3 linked regions of the Macaca fascicularis genome follow. The protein of the gene in region 1 interacts with the protein of each later gene in a biochemical or structural test. Links are inferred from orthologs where the notes say so. Each region holds a gene or a part of one and is shown in the gene's direction. Other genes may lie near its edges.

What was found.
Region 2: of the proteins of AURKB (region 1) and RACGAP1, one has a biochemical effect on the other in vitro, tested with the Homo sapiens proteins (2 studies listed by BioGRID and IntAct). The link is inferred for Macaca fascicularis from reciprocal best matches to the Homo sapiens genes AURKB and RACGAP1.
Region 3: the proteins of AURKB (region 1) and CDCA8 form a complex in vitro, tested with the Homo sapiens proteins (3 studies listed by BioGRID, with this or other methods). The link is inferred for Macaca fascicularis from reciprocal best matches to the Homo sapiens genes AURKB and CDCA8.

Annotation. Positions count from the first base shown.
Region 1 is NC_088390.1:8,288,110-8,292,950, reverse strand, and holds the start of AURKB (aurora kinase B), read left to right. Parts: upstream 1-1,760; 5' UTR 1,761-1,806; intron 1,807-2,088; 5' UTR 2,089-2,113; coding exon 2,114-2,161; intron 2,162-4,428; exon of another isoform or gene 4,429-4,489; coding exon 4,490-4,592; intron 4,593-4,694; coding exon 4,695-4,749; intron 4,750-4,841. UniProt on the Homo sapiens protein: Serine/threonine-protein kinase component of the chromosomal passenger complex (CPC), a complex that acts as a key regulator of mitosis.
Region 2 is NC_088385.1:56,844,625-56,849,293, reverse strand, and holds the start of RACGAP1 (rac GTPase-activating protein 1), read left to right. Parts: upstream 1-1,727; 5' UTR 1,728-1,942; coding exon 1,943-2,001; intron 2,002-2,221; coding exon 2,222-2,310; intron 2,311-4,669.
Region 3 is NC_088375.1:197,227,651-197,232,304, reverse strand, and holds the start of CDCA8 (borealin), read left to right. Parts: upstream 1-1,712; 5' UTR 1,713-1,795; intron 1,796-1,892; 5' UTR 1,893-1,907; coding exon 1,908-2,001; intron 2,002-2,123; coding exon 2,124-2,252; intron 2,253-4,654.

The DNA of each region.
Region 1 (4,841 bases):
AGTTTGAGACCAGCCTGACCAATGGGATGAAATCCCGTCTCTACTAAAAATACAAAAATCAGCTGGCGTGGTCACATGCGCCTGTAATCCCAGCTACTGGGGAGGCTGAGACAGGAGAATCGCTTGAACCCGGGAGGAGGAGGTTGTGGTGAGCCGATATGGCGCTATTGCACTCCAGCCTGGGCAACACAGCAAAACTTCGTCTCAAAAAACAAAAACAAACAAACAAACAAAAAAAGAAGTGGTATTTAATTAGGTCTTCATCAACCTAGGGATTTGGGGTTGTCAGCAACAGAAACTACTACAGAAACCGACTACTTAGACTGGAGAGACAGGTGGTCCCCTAAGGGAAAATAAGAGTGTTAGGAGAAAGGAGAAGAGTGCTGGACAGTACATACTTAACAAGTATCCACTGGTTATTTCATAGAAGACCCAGAAATGTATTTATTTACAGTAATGTATTCATTACCCAGTAATGAAATCTGAGGGTTAGGAAGAGCAGAAAAGAAGGGAGTGTGGCAGGAAGGAGGAAAAATCAAAGTGGGCCCAAACAACATGGCAGCTAACAGAGATCTTGCAAGGAAAGGTCTACTCGTGGAAAACTCCTCCCAGGAATGTCAGAACTTTTAATAACGACATAGTAATGACACAAGAATAAACACACAGCCAAATGAGCAAACAACAGAATACAAAGTCTAGACATAGACACAAGTAAATATGCTAACATTATATATCAAGGGCAGCATTTAAATTCTATTGGGGCAGTTTGTTTAACAAATGGTGTTGACATAACTGGCTCTCCATCGCGCAGAAGTTAGACCCCAGCTCATACATGTATAAGGATAAACTCCAGTTATATTAAAGATTTAATTTTTTTTATAAAAAGAAGAAGGCCAGGCGCGGTGGCTCACGCCTGTAATACCAGCATTTGGGGAAGCCCAGGCGGGTGGATCACCTGAGGACAGGAGTTCGAGACCAGATTGGCCAACATAGTGAAAACCCGTCTCTACCAAAAATACAAAAATTCCGGGCGCCTGTAATCCCAGCCACTCGGGTGGCTGAGGCACGAGAATCGCTTGAAACCGGGAGGCAGAGGTTGCAGCAAGCCGAGATAGCACCACTATACTCCAGCCTGGGCGACAGAGAGAGACTCTGTCTCAAAAAAGGAAAGGGGAGGGGAGGGGAGGGGAGGGGAGGGGAGGGGAGGAGAGGGGAGGGGAGGAGAGGGGAGGGGAGGGAAGGGGAGGGGAGGGGAGGGGAGAAGAGAAGGGGAGGGGAGGAGAGGGGAGGAGAGGGGAGGGGAGGGGAGGGGAGGGGAGGGGAGAAGAGAAGGGGAGGGGAGGGGAGGGAGGGGAGAAGAGGAGGGGAGGGGAGGGGAGGGAGGGGAGAAGAGAAGGGGAGGGGAGGAGAGGGGAGGGGAGGGGAGAAGAGGAGGGGAGGGGAGAAGAGGAGGGGAGGGGAGAAGAGGAGGGGAGGGGAGAAGAGGAGGGGAGGGGAGGGGAGGGGAGGGGAGGGGAGGGGAGGGGAGGGGAGGGGAAGGGAAGGGAAGTAAAGAAAAGAAAAAGGAAGATAATTCACTGGGGGAATGTGGGGAAACCTTCCTAAGCTGGAAGCCAAGCGTGCCTCTTCCGTTGGGTTCCCATTACTTACGTCACAGGACATCGAGCCAATGGGAACTAGGCATGGGCGACGAGCTCACCCAATGGGGCCGGGGCGGGAGATTTGAAAGGTCCTCGGCCAGGGCGTGGCGTGGCAGATTCAGTTGTTTGCGGGCGGCCGGGAGAGTAGCAGTACCTTGGACCTCAGGTGAGCTGGCCTCCTGTCGCAGGCCTTGCGCCAGGAGTGGGCAGATGATCAGGCAGATCAGAGGGTCCGTTGGGCTGGCCTGCGCGCACACTGCAGGGCTGGAAGGAGGTAGGGATGATAGCAGGGTGGGGGCGGTGAGACAAGCGCCCGGATTGGAGCTAGTGTGCTGACCTGCTCCCTTTTACCAGCTCGGGCTAGCGCTTCCGGCTTGATCGGTCCAACCCCTACCTCTCTCTCTCTCTTTTTCTCTGCTTCTCACGGCTGTTTCCCTTCTCGGCCCAGCTCTCCTCCCCCTTTCCCTCTAAGGATGGCCCAGAAGGAGAACGCCTACCCCTGGCCCTACGGCCGGCAGACGGTAAGGCCCTTCCCTCCTTCCCCGCGCCCACATGACCCCGCATGGCGAGTTCCTGCTGGGAAACTTGAGATCGTGCAAAGAGCAATCCCTTATGCACTTTCTTTCCCGTTATGCTCCAAAGTACGCGCCCCAAGTTTGATGACAGAACCTGGTCTGGGCATTTGTAGCCAGCCACATCCTGTTAGGTGCTGCCAACTTGAATCTGACCAGCCAGTGACTACCAGCCGGTGAGGGCCTCTGCAGGGTTCATCACACACAAGTGATATCTGGGACTGAGCAGGCAGGGCCTGGCCTTCAGGCCATGATTCCCAACCCATGTCCTGAAAAAAATAAACTAGACAGCAAATATAAATAGACTCTAAAAGGATATAAAGTTACTGTTTAAAAGGTCCAGGAAAAGTCTAAATTATAATTTGGAATTAATGAGTAAGTTGAGGTAAGGATCTCAATGAATCTAAATGGATTTATTTCCCAGTTGTCCAGACAGATTTCATTGAGGGGCCTCCTCTCTGATTTGAAATGCCACCTTTATTATATATATAAATTCCCACATATATGTGGGTCTATTTCTGGACTGTATTTTATTCAACTTGCTTATTTGTAGATCTGTACCAATATCACTATTTGGGAAGAGGTTTTTAGGGGCATAGGGGCTCTCTTCTCTTGGCTGAAGAAGAAGGAAGGGGCCCTGCATAGGCTTTGCTCCCTGTTTGTGGAGCTCGGGCTTCCTGGAGAATCTGCCTGTCCCCTTGTTCATCAGCTCCCTCCCTCACGGAGCAATGAGTGAGGCTGTCAGGAATGGAGTCTGAATGAGAAACCATTGTCACTTTTACCTTGGTCACTCCTAAAAGAAAGTGTATCTATTATTTTGAGAAGCTGAAAGTGAGGCCAGGTGCAGTGGCTCATACCTGTAATCGTGGGAGGCTGAGGCAGGTGGATCACCTGAGGTCAGGAGTTCAAGACCAGCCTGGCCAACATGGTGAAACCCTGTCTCTACTAAAAATACAAAAATTAGCCAGGCATGGTGGCGGACGCCTGTAATCCCAGCTACTCAGGAGGCTGAGGCAGAAGAATTGCCTGAACCTGGGAGGTGGAGGTTGCAGTGAGCCGAGATGGCGCCATTGCACTCCAGCCTGGGTAATAGAGCAAGACTCCATCTCAGAAGAAAAAAAAGAAGGTGAAAGTGAGAAGTGGTCCAGGGCCATCAGAGTAGCTCTTAGTGTCCTTAAAGGCTGTTCTTGCAAAGGTGTAACCCCTGGTTATTGCTATAACATTCAAGGCCTCAAGCTTCTTATCTAAGCCTTAATAAACTAAGCTTTTTGGGAGACTTTGAGAATACCTCTGTCTAAACCCCTTGAATTGTGGGTGTTCACAGTAGACACCCAGCTCTCTACTGTGGTGTAGGTGAGAGGCTAGATGAATGGCTGTGGTGTTATGGACAGGACTTATACAAGTTGAACAGCTTCATGCCTGAAAAGTGTGGGCCAGGGCCAAAGAGGTGAAATGTTAGGTGTTGGTGTGAGTCTTTTGCCCCTTATCTTAGGCCTACTTAGGTTATTTTTTAATTTTTTAATTTTTATTTTTTAGAGACAGAGTCTCACTCTGTCGCCCAGGCTGGAGTGCAGTGGCGCAATCTCAACTCACTGCAACCTCTGCCGCCCGGGCTCAAGCAATTCTCCTGCCTCAGCCTCTCAAGTAGCTGGGATTACAGGACCCGCACCCAGCTAATTTTTTTTTTTTTTTTTGAGACGAAGTCTAGCTCTGTCGCCCAGGCTAGAGTGCAATGGCACAATCTCGGCCCACTGCAACCTCTGCCTCCTAGGTTCAAGCGATTCTCCTGCCTCAGCCTCCTGAGTAGGTGGGATTACAGGCACTCGCCACCACGCCCAGCTAATTTTTGTATTTTTAGTAGAGTGGGGTTTCACTGTGTTGGCCATGCTGGTCTCGAACTCCTGACCTCGTGATCCGCCTGCCTCAGCCTTCCAAAGTGCTGGGATTACAAGCGTGACCCACCACACCCAGCCGCACTGGGCTAATTTTTTGTATTTTTAGTAGAGACGGGGTTTCACCATGTTGGCCAGGCTGGTCTTGAACTCCTGACTGCGTGAGCCACTGCGCCCGGCCCTAGGTTGTTTATGAATAACCCATTTTAACATGGGACTGTGAGCAGAGGCTGGGAGGCAAAACTGTCACATCAGTGTTTCTCTTTGAATTGGGGGTGGGCGGGTGGGTGGCTCTTTAGCAAGGGGCTGAAATACTGCTTGCAGCACATTCCACCCGGGTCATCAGACAAAGGCACCCTCAGAGCTACCCCCTGCTCCTTCTCAGGCTCCGTCTGGCCTGAGCACCCTGCCCCAGCGAGTCCTCCGGAAAGAGCCTGTCACCCCATCTGCACTTGTCCTCATGAGCCGCTCCAATGTCCAGCCCACAGGTACCTGGGGCAAGGGGGAGAGGACTGATGAGCGTCTATGGGAGGGTTTAGGGATGAGAAGGTCATCCCTGCTCTCATTCAACTTACCTGTTGTCTCCTTAGCTGCCCCTGGCCAGAAGGTGGTGGAGAACAGCAGTGGGACACCCAACATCTTAATGTAAGTGCCCCAAGCCTTGGGGTGGAGGGAGGTGAGGGGACAGTGAATGGGCAGGAAGTCGGGAAGATAAAACCTAAGGGCAGGAGGAGTAG
Region 2 (4,669 bases), on another chromosome or scaffold:
GACTACAGGCGCCCGCCACCTCGCCCGGCTAGTTTTTTGTATTTTTAGTAGAGACGGGGTTTCACTGTGTTAGCCAGGATGGTCTCGATCTCCTGACCTCATGGTCCGCCCGTCTCAGCCTCCCAAAGTGCTGGGATTACAGGCTTGAGCCACCGCGCCCGGCAAAAAAAGCTTTTTTTTAAACAACCAGTTTTCAACATCCTAGCACCATGAAATTTTCCTTTTTGAATTCTTGGACAGATTAGAAGTTTTGCTTGGTACTGAGCTCACTGTCTTATAGTCGCACAATATGTGAGTGAGTGCCGAGATGATAGAAAGCAATACCTTATATTAAAACTACTGATTAGAGTCTTCCATTTTTACCTCATGAGAGCCAAAGGAAACCAACATTTGAATTGACTACCCAATGTCCTGCCCATTTCTGTCCTGTAGCACTTGGGGTATGTTGCTTATTTCGTTATATTGTTAAATCCATGGAGTCTCTATGAATTCCACAGCTCTTCCTGCCGGTTTTAATGCTATCCTTTTAGTTTTGTTCTTAGTTTAGAGAAAGATCTTTGTAATACATTTGTTGGTCTGGTTGCTTAGCAGCTTGCTGTGATTATGTAGCTTGGAACAGATACTTGCCATTTGAAAATCTTGGTTTCCGGCCCTGATTCAGGTATATATTGCATCCAGGCTTGGAACTGAAAACTTTTTTTCTATTATAGCAATTATCATATGAATATAAATGAATAATTCTGCAGCACTTAATAGAAAATATCTTATGTTTATATATTCTTTTTTTTTTTTTTGCTCTGGCACCCAGGTTGGAGTGCAGTGGCACCATCTCAGCTCATTGCAACCTCTGCCTCCCAGGTTCAAGCAATCCTCCTGCCTCAGCCTCCCAAGTAGCTGGGATTATAGGCACACATCACTGTGCCCAGCTAATTTTTGTGTTTTTACTAGAGACAGGGTTTCGCCATGTTGGCCCAGGCTGGTCTCGAACTCCTGACCTCAAGTGATCCACCCACCTTGGCCTCCCAAAGTGCTGGGATTATAGGTGTGAGCCACCGTGCCCAGCCTATGTTCATATATTCTTTGTCCTTTGTGCTTTTTAATATATTTTTTCTTGCTCTCATAGCTTGTGGTACAATCTTATAAACATTGCAAAATCACTAACCCTTCATAAGAGTTCTTAAAATTTTATTTAGGAAATAAGGACCTGGACTAGAATGTTGAAGCATTGGTTAAGAGAAACATAAGAATCCTTTAATGGTATTTCTGAGGACATTACATTTCTAATGAAATTTGACTTTTTATTTCATTTCCTTGATAGTTTTCATAACATCCAGTTAATGTGTTTCTTTCTTGACTGTTAAGTGAAGATCTTATTTCCTCAAAGTGTTCCCAGTTAAAATCTATTTGGAATATAACTGCCTGTAATGACACTGTTTTTTCTGTAGTATCAGCAGGCCTTTGGGGGGAAATACGAAGCCTGAAATTCACTATACAGAACACAGTAGCAAATGATTTTTGCTTTGCCCTTCGAACTATGAAGGTGGTGTATTGTCTCTCTGATGCCAGAATGTGGTACAACATAATCCTTTGCCTCTACTTAGTATAAATTTGTTAGACATAGTTCCTCCACACAGCCTAGCAGAGAAGCCCTGCATTACAGAAATAATTCTTGTGCTGCTGAGCTGGCGATTTTCCCACTTAATCATTCGTGTGACGTCATCTGTGCTGTTGGTAGGAAATGTGCTGACCATGTCCTGCATTTTAAAAGGCAGTTGCAACAGGGGCATTAGCTAAAAATGAAATTAAAAATAGATATTTTAAGTCACATTGTAGGTCTTCAAGGCCCACAAGGAATAAACTGGTAAAAGTATTATATTAATCAATAGGCTTGACTTGAAGAACCACATTTTGTTGTTGGTCAGTCACTTAGTAATCAACTGACATGCTTTTTCCTATTTGTTTTCTGCTACAAAGTGATTGGAGGGGCTGTTATATTCAAAGGTCTGAAATGGTTTTCTAATTTTAAGATGAGTCTTAAATATTCCAAGTTTGTTTTTATAATAAGAATCACACAAAACATCTGTTGTTAGCTTGAGATTCTTATAATGGTAGTTATAAATGGAAGAGTCCAGATGTTGGTCACTGATGGCTGGATTGCTATAGAATCTTCTGTCGTGGGTGAGAAGGCAGGACCCCTAATGTATATTTGATTTCTTGGCAGAAAGATGGATACTATGATGCTGAATATGCGGAATCTGTTTGAGCAGCTTGTGCGCCGGGCAGAGATTCTCAGTGAAGGAAATGAACTCCGTAAGTCATTCTGAGCTGGCCTGTCCAAGGAAAAACAGATTTCAAATTTGGGATTTTTACAAAGCTGAAGTATTTTCCAGTCTTAAAGTTGTTTTTCATTTGGGTTACCTAAAAATAAAGCAGTGGTCACTTACGTGGTCAAAGCCTAACAGGCACTCATTCTAAATGGTCACTAAAATTCTTTTCTGTAGCTGCTCTTAATAGGTTTTAGCCAGGCTTTTTTATTATCTTTATTTATTTTTTGAGATGGAGTCTCTCTCTGTCACCCAGGCTGGAGCGCAGTGGCGACATCACGGCTCACTGCAACCTCTGCTCCCCAGGTTCAAGCGATTCCCTGTCTCAGCCTCTCGAGTAGCAGGGATTACAGGCACATGCCACCAAGCCCGGCTAATTTTTTGTATTTTTAGTAGAGACAGGGTTTTGCATGTTAACCAGGCTATTTTCAAACTCCTGACCTCAGGTGATCCGCCTGCCTCGGCCTCCCAAAGTGCTGGGATTACAGGCGTCAGCCACTGTGCCTGGCCGCTTTTTTATTATCAAGATTCTTTTTCTGCTGAATAGTTGGCACTATTTTCTGTGCCATGAACTGGGAAAAATTTACTAGGATATTGCTTTTTTCTTTAGAGTAGCAGTTGGCTATACTTTTTATCCTGGATTTTCTTTGTGTTCTATAAAAGCATTTTCAGTTGAAGTGGGAAAAAGTCATAATTTCTTCTTTCTTTTTTCTTTTTTCTTTTTTTTAAAGAATGTCACTCTGTCTCCCAGGTTGCACCACCATGCCCTGCTACTTTTTCAAAATTTTTTATAGAGATAAGGTCTCCCTATTTTACCCAGGCTGGTGTCCACCTCTTGGCCTCAAGCAATCCTCTCACTTCTGCCTCCCAAAGTGCTGGGATTATAGGCATGAGCCACCAGGCCCAGTCCACAATTTCTTTTTGAAGGAGATACTAGGCATCTGCTTTCACCTAATTCATATATTTGATGCTGAGTAATTAATGATTGAGAGCCAAGTTTGGTGGCTTGCACCTGTAATCCCAGCTACTCAGGAGGCTGAGGCAGGAGAATCACTTGATGCCAGGAGTTTGAGACCAGCTTGGGCAACATAGCAAGACTGTCTCTGAAAACATTAGCGGTCGGGCATAGTGGCTCATGCCTATAATCTTAGCACTTTGTAGGGCTGAGATGAGTGGATCGATTGAGTCCAGGAGTTTGAGACCAGCCTGGGCAACATGGCAAAACCCCATCTCTGGTTTTATTTTTTTTTTTGAGATGGAATATCACTCTGTCACCCAGGTTGGAGTGCAGTGGCGTGATCTCGGCTCACTGCAACCTCCACCTTCTGGGCTCAAGCAATTGTCCTGCCTCAGCCTCCCAGGTAGCTGGGATTATAAGCGTCTGCCACCACACTCAGCTAATTTTTGTATTTTTAGTAGAGATGGGGTTTTGTCATGTTGGCCGGGCTGGTCTTGAACTCCTGACCTCAAATGATCCACCCACCACAGCCTCCTCCCGAAGTGCTGGGATTACAGGTTTGAGCGCCTGACCACAAAAACCCCATCTCTACAGAAAAAAAAAAGAAAAAGAAAAAGAAACAGCTGGTGTGGTGGCATGCTCCTGTGATCCCAGCTACCTCGGAGGCTGAGGTGGGAGGATGGCTGGGAAGGCGGAGGTTGCAGTGAGCTGAGATCACACTGGTGTACTCCAACCTAGGACAGAGCGAGACCCTATTTCAAAAACAAAAGAATTAGCTGGGTGTGGTGACACACGCCTATGGTCCCAGATACTCAGGAGGCTGAAGGGATTGCTTGAGCCCAGGAGTTTGAGGCTACAGTGAACTATGATTGTGCCACTGCACTAAAGCCTGGGTGACAGAGTGAGACTCCATCTCCCCGGGGGAAAGAATAAAGGATTGAGATGGGGTGGCGAACTGGGGAGAAAAAGGAGGTGCTAATAGAGGAACTGTCTGGGAAATAAATTAGCAAGAAAGAAAAATGGGGCTGATGGTACTGACATGTGATCTAAGGGAATTATTCTATACCAGCTTCTCTTTGTATTACCATCCTCTCCTATTTCAGACTTTCATTAATACCTAATTTAGTAAATGTTGTTCTCGAGTCAGCCTTACTGGTGTTAAAGTAATGTAAGAACTGTGTCTTGAACTTTTTTTTATTTCTATAGTACTTACTGTGGTATCTTGCTTATGCCATTCAATATTTTCTTTGAATTGATTGATGTTTTTAATAGCTCTTATCCACTTACAGGCCTTTCAAAACAATATTCTATTTTCTGTCTCTAATAGCTGCTGCATGACCCTATCATCTGGTACCAGCTCAGTAACCACAATGGCATACTAATTAGG
Region 3 (4,654 bases), on another chromosome or scaffold:
GCGCCTTCGGCTGTGCCTTAATGACACTTTTGACATTGTGTATCACAACCAACTGGCAAAAACTAGTGAATCACGGGCTCCTGACGTGGCAGCTCTCGCTGAGATGCAGGTGGACATCCTAGGTGCCCAGGGAGGTCGGGCACATTGGGGAGTCGGGTGAAGGAAACCCTGAAACCGAGAGGCTGGAAGCCCAATTTGCCCATCATAAAAACACCTGCTGCGGGAAAGCCTACATGAGGTACGGGTTGTCGTCCCCTCTCATCTTGGCCATCTAACTGATGGAGATCCTTAGGCACCCAGCAGACTCGGGTGTCACCCCCACCACCCACTGCCCAGGGCTGACCTTGGGCGGAAGAGCGACATTCAAATATTTTTTGTATATGGAGCAACAAACCAGGGTGGAAGAGAGAGAGAAAGGACTTTCTAGGAAGGGCCAGGCTTGCCAGGGTTTCTATGCTTGGACTGCTCTGTCCCCAAGCTCGCTGGTGCCCATCAGGAGCCTGCTTGGCACCTTTGCTTATTTCTTTGATTGTTCCTGAACTCAGAGGGGGAGAGGCAAGATTATCACTCCCATAGCCTATAACATGCACGCTTAAACACAAACAACCCCTCTGACATGGCTTCATTCCGCATCCACAGGTGAAAAGCACCAAATCCAAACAATCAGGCCACAAACCTGTCAAGAGCTCGCCGGTCTGGCCGTCCAGTCGTCGCCCGCCTTGAGACTCAGCCTGAGCTACAGCTTCGAAACTAGCCTCTAGCCTTGCTGGGTCTCAGCACAACCCTTGAGCAATCCAACCCTGTGGCTGTGGGCAGATGCAAAGATGCACAGTTAGCACTTCCGACAGGACTGCGGCTCAGCGGGGTTCGAGGTCTACACGCCCATTCCCAGGCCCACGGCCAGAACACCCAGAGCTGCCTCCTGCCCTGGGCTCCCTGGAGTGTGGTGGCCGCGGCTCACGCTGCAGTCACCGCGTGGGCAGCTGCCAAGCGCCACTACTCGCACCTGAAGTCGCGGCCCCGCGCTGCACACCCAGTCGAGGCGCCAAGACGCGAACTGGACGGGAGTGGCCGGCCCGCGGGCAAGCGAGGAACAAGAGGGTTCTCCCCACTCGCTGCCCAAACTGGCCACGGGCTGGCGCGCCCACCCCAAAGCCTGCACCCCGGCCCCGCTCCCCTGTCATTCCGCCTCGACCCCTTCCAAACCCTGTCGGGGCTGCTCTGTCTCCGCCGACCCTCCACTTGCCCCAAGTTCGGCCTGGGGAGCTTGGGGCCCTGAGGAGCGCCGACGTAGGCAGCCAACCAGTCAATCAGTCAGAGTGTCACGGCGGCCCCTCGGCTACTCAGTGGCAGCCAGGCCTGGAAGAAGCAGCCGCCGGCCCCGGAGCAGAATCCTACAGCCGACCTGACCTAGTCCGCTCCTAGCCCTTCAAAGATTGGGGTAATGAGGACCCGCCGCAAGGCCTGCCGGGAGTCGCAGTTTGTATAGTTTGCAGCCGGCCAGGGCGGAGCCGGGTGGGTTGGTGGGGAGGGCGGGGAAACAAGCCTGGACCACAACTCCCAGGAGCACCCGCGACGGCGGCGCCCGCGCTGACGCACTCCGGCTATAGGGAGCGCATTGGGCGGGAGACCCCGGGCAGGTAGGAACTTGCTTGTGATTGGATACTGTGGGACGGCGGTTTCTCATTCGTCAGCCTGTGGCTGTGGAGTTTGAATTAGGTGGCGGTTGACGGTAGAGCCGCTCTCTCTCACTGGCATAGCGAGGTTTTACTCAGTCCTTGTCGCGAGACCGGAGGTACGTGCCTGGCGACTTATTCGGGTGGTCCCCATCCGCCCTCCTGGTCCCTACCTGGTTCCTTGCCTCCCTGCCCCATCTCCGCCGCTCCCCGCAGCCTCCGCCGAGCGCCATGGCTCCTAGGAAGGGCAGTAGTCGGGTGGCCAAGATCAACTCCTTACGGAGGCGGAAGCTCGCCTCCTTTCTGAAAGACTTCGACCGTGAAGGTAAAGGGGCCAGGCCGTCGCGGCCTCCTGGGGCGGTCGCGGGATGCTGGCGGGTGGGGACACGAGCTGCACACATTCACCCGCCCCGTGACCCGTGTCCTGTCGGCTCTGCCCTCCCGCAGTGGAAATACGAATCAAGCAAATTGAGTCAGACAGGCAGAACCTCCTCAAGGAGGTGGATAACCTCTACAACATCGAGATCCTGCGGCTCCCCAAGGCGCTGCGCCAGATGAACTGGCTTGACTACTTCGGTAAGAGCTGGAGAGCTTCCCTGGGCGGAGGCCGGGAGCCCCGTGGGGTTAGGTAACACCCTTCAGAAAGGACTCGCTCAGATGTCACCTTTTAATGAAATCTGACATGACCACTTATGGAAAATTGCAGACCCTTTCACTCTCTGTCTCACTTCCGTAAGTCATGTGTCTCCATCCTTTTCTCTAAAGGCCTAGGTAGCAAATATTTTAGGCTACTTGAGCCGGTGGGAGGGGTCTCTGTCGGACAACTTAGCTCTGCTGTTACAGGTCCAAAACAGCTATAGTGAATGGGCATGGATGGGCTGTATTCCAATAAAATTTTAGTTGTGGATACACTGAAATGTGAATTTCACATAATTTTCACACATCAGGAATTTTATTTTATTTTTTTGGAACAGAGTCTCACTCTGTCACCCAGGCTGGAGTGCAGTGCAGTGGTGCGATCTTGGCTCACTGCAACCTCCACCTTCTGTATTCAAGTGATTCTCCTGCCTCAGCCTCCGGAGTAGCTGGGATTACGGTCTCCTGCCACTATGCCCTGCTGATTTTTGTATTTTCAGTAGAGACGAGGCTTCACCATGTTGGCCAGGCTGGTCTCGCACTACTGACCTCAAGTGATCTGCATGCCTCAGCCTCCCAAAGTGCTGGGATTACAGGAGTCAGCCACTGTGCCCAGCCAGAAAATAGTATTTTTAAAAAATATGTATATTTTACCCAACCCATTTAAAAATGAATGAATAAATGACATGGTTAGTTAACCAGAGCTCAGATGAAAGAATAACCCAAAGCAGCTCCTTATGCAGCTTATGGAAATTGCTAACTTAAAAATGGGCACATCAGGCTGGGCGCAGTGGTTCATGCCTGTAATCCCAGCACTTTGGGAGGCTGAGGCGGGCAGATCACCTGAGGTCAGGAGTTCGAGACCAGCCTGATCAACATGGAGAAACCCTGTCTCGGCCGGGCGTGGTGGCTCAAGCCTGTAATCCCAGCACTTTGGGAGGCCGAGACGGGTGGATCAGGAGGTCAGGAGATCGAGACCATCCTGGCTAACACGGTGAAACCCCGTCTCTACTAAAAAAAATACAAAAAACTAGCCGGGCGTGGTGGCGGGTGCCTGTAGTCCCAGCTACTCCGGAGGCTGAGGCAGGAGAATGGCGTAAACCCAGGAGGCGGAGCTTGCAGTGAGCTGAGATCCGGCCACTGCACTCCATCCTGGGCGACAGAGAGAGACTCCATCTCACAAAAAAAAAAAAAAAAGAAAGAAACCCTGTCTCTACTAAAAATAAAAAAAGTTAGCCGGGTGTGGTGGCGCATGCTTCTAATCCCAGCTATTCAGGAGGCTGAGGCAGGAGAATCGCTTGAACCTGGGAGGTGGAGGTTGCGGTGAGCCAAGAGCCCGCCATTGCACTCCAGCCTGGGCAACAAGAATGAAACTCCATCTCAAAAAAAAAAAGGCACATCAGTTTTCCTGGCCAGAGAAAAATCCCAGCCTGCTTCCCCACTCCCTTATTAAATGTCCAGAGAAATGCAGGAGGCTGTACTTTTCTGCTGGGTTGCAAAAGTTTTCCTTATTATTAATTATCCAGCATGTAGTCTCCTTGCTGGATAGAAATGCATGTTCTGTTCACATATTAGACGTTGAATGATCCTTTTGACTTGTCCTTTTATTTATTAATATTAAGCCATTCATTTGCTCATTTCTACAAATACTGAGCATGTGTGAGTCACAGTGCTAGGTGCTAAAGATGCACTGGGGAATAAAACAGACATTGTCTCTGCCTTCAGAAACATACAGGTTAGTAGAAAAGAGCTATTAGAAAAATCCACATACAATTATGTAATTAAAAGTATAGGTACTACAAAGGAGATAGAATAGAGTAGTTGTCAGTGAGCATATTGTGATTTCTATGCCGGATGGGCATTGTACCAAGTGTTTTACATATATTAACTAATTTTTCTTCATAACTAATAATATCCCTATTTTTCTAAATGACAAGATTAAGGCACAGAGAAATTGGATACTTTGCTCAAGGCCTCATAAGCTAGTTAGTGGAATAGTCTGTTTGAACCCAGGTATTCTGGTTTCATAGCCTGAGATCTTAACTGTTTTACAAGATACTGTGAGGGTTTCTAGCAGGAGGATCTAACCTAACTTTTTATTCTACATGTAAATCTCACAAAGACCTTTTCATTCAACACACATTTACTGTACTTCTATTGACTGCTAAATTTTTGCCAGAAGCAAAGGATATCATCTCTGGAATTCAGTCCAAGGCAAGGATGGACTGTTTAAAAAGCTCTGAGTGGTTACTGGGTATGATGAGGGTGAGCAACTTACTCCACACTTTGCAGCAACCTGCTGAGATAGAAAAATAAGCAGGCTAGGCACAGTGGCTCACACC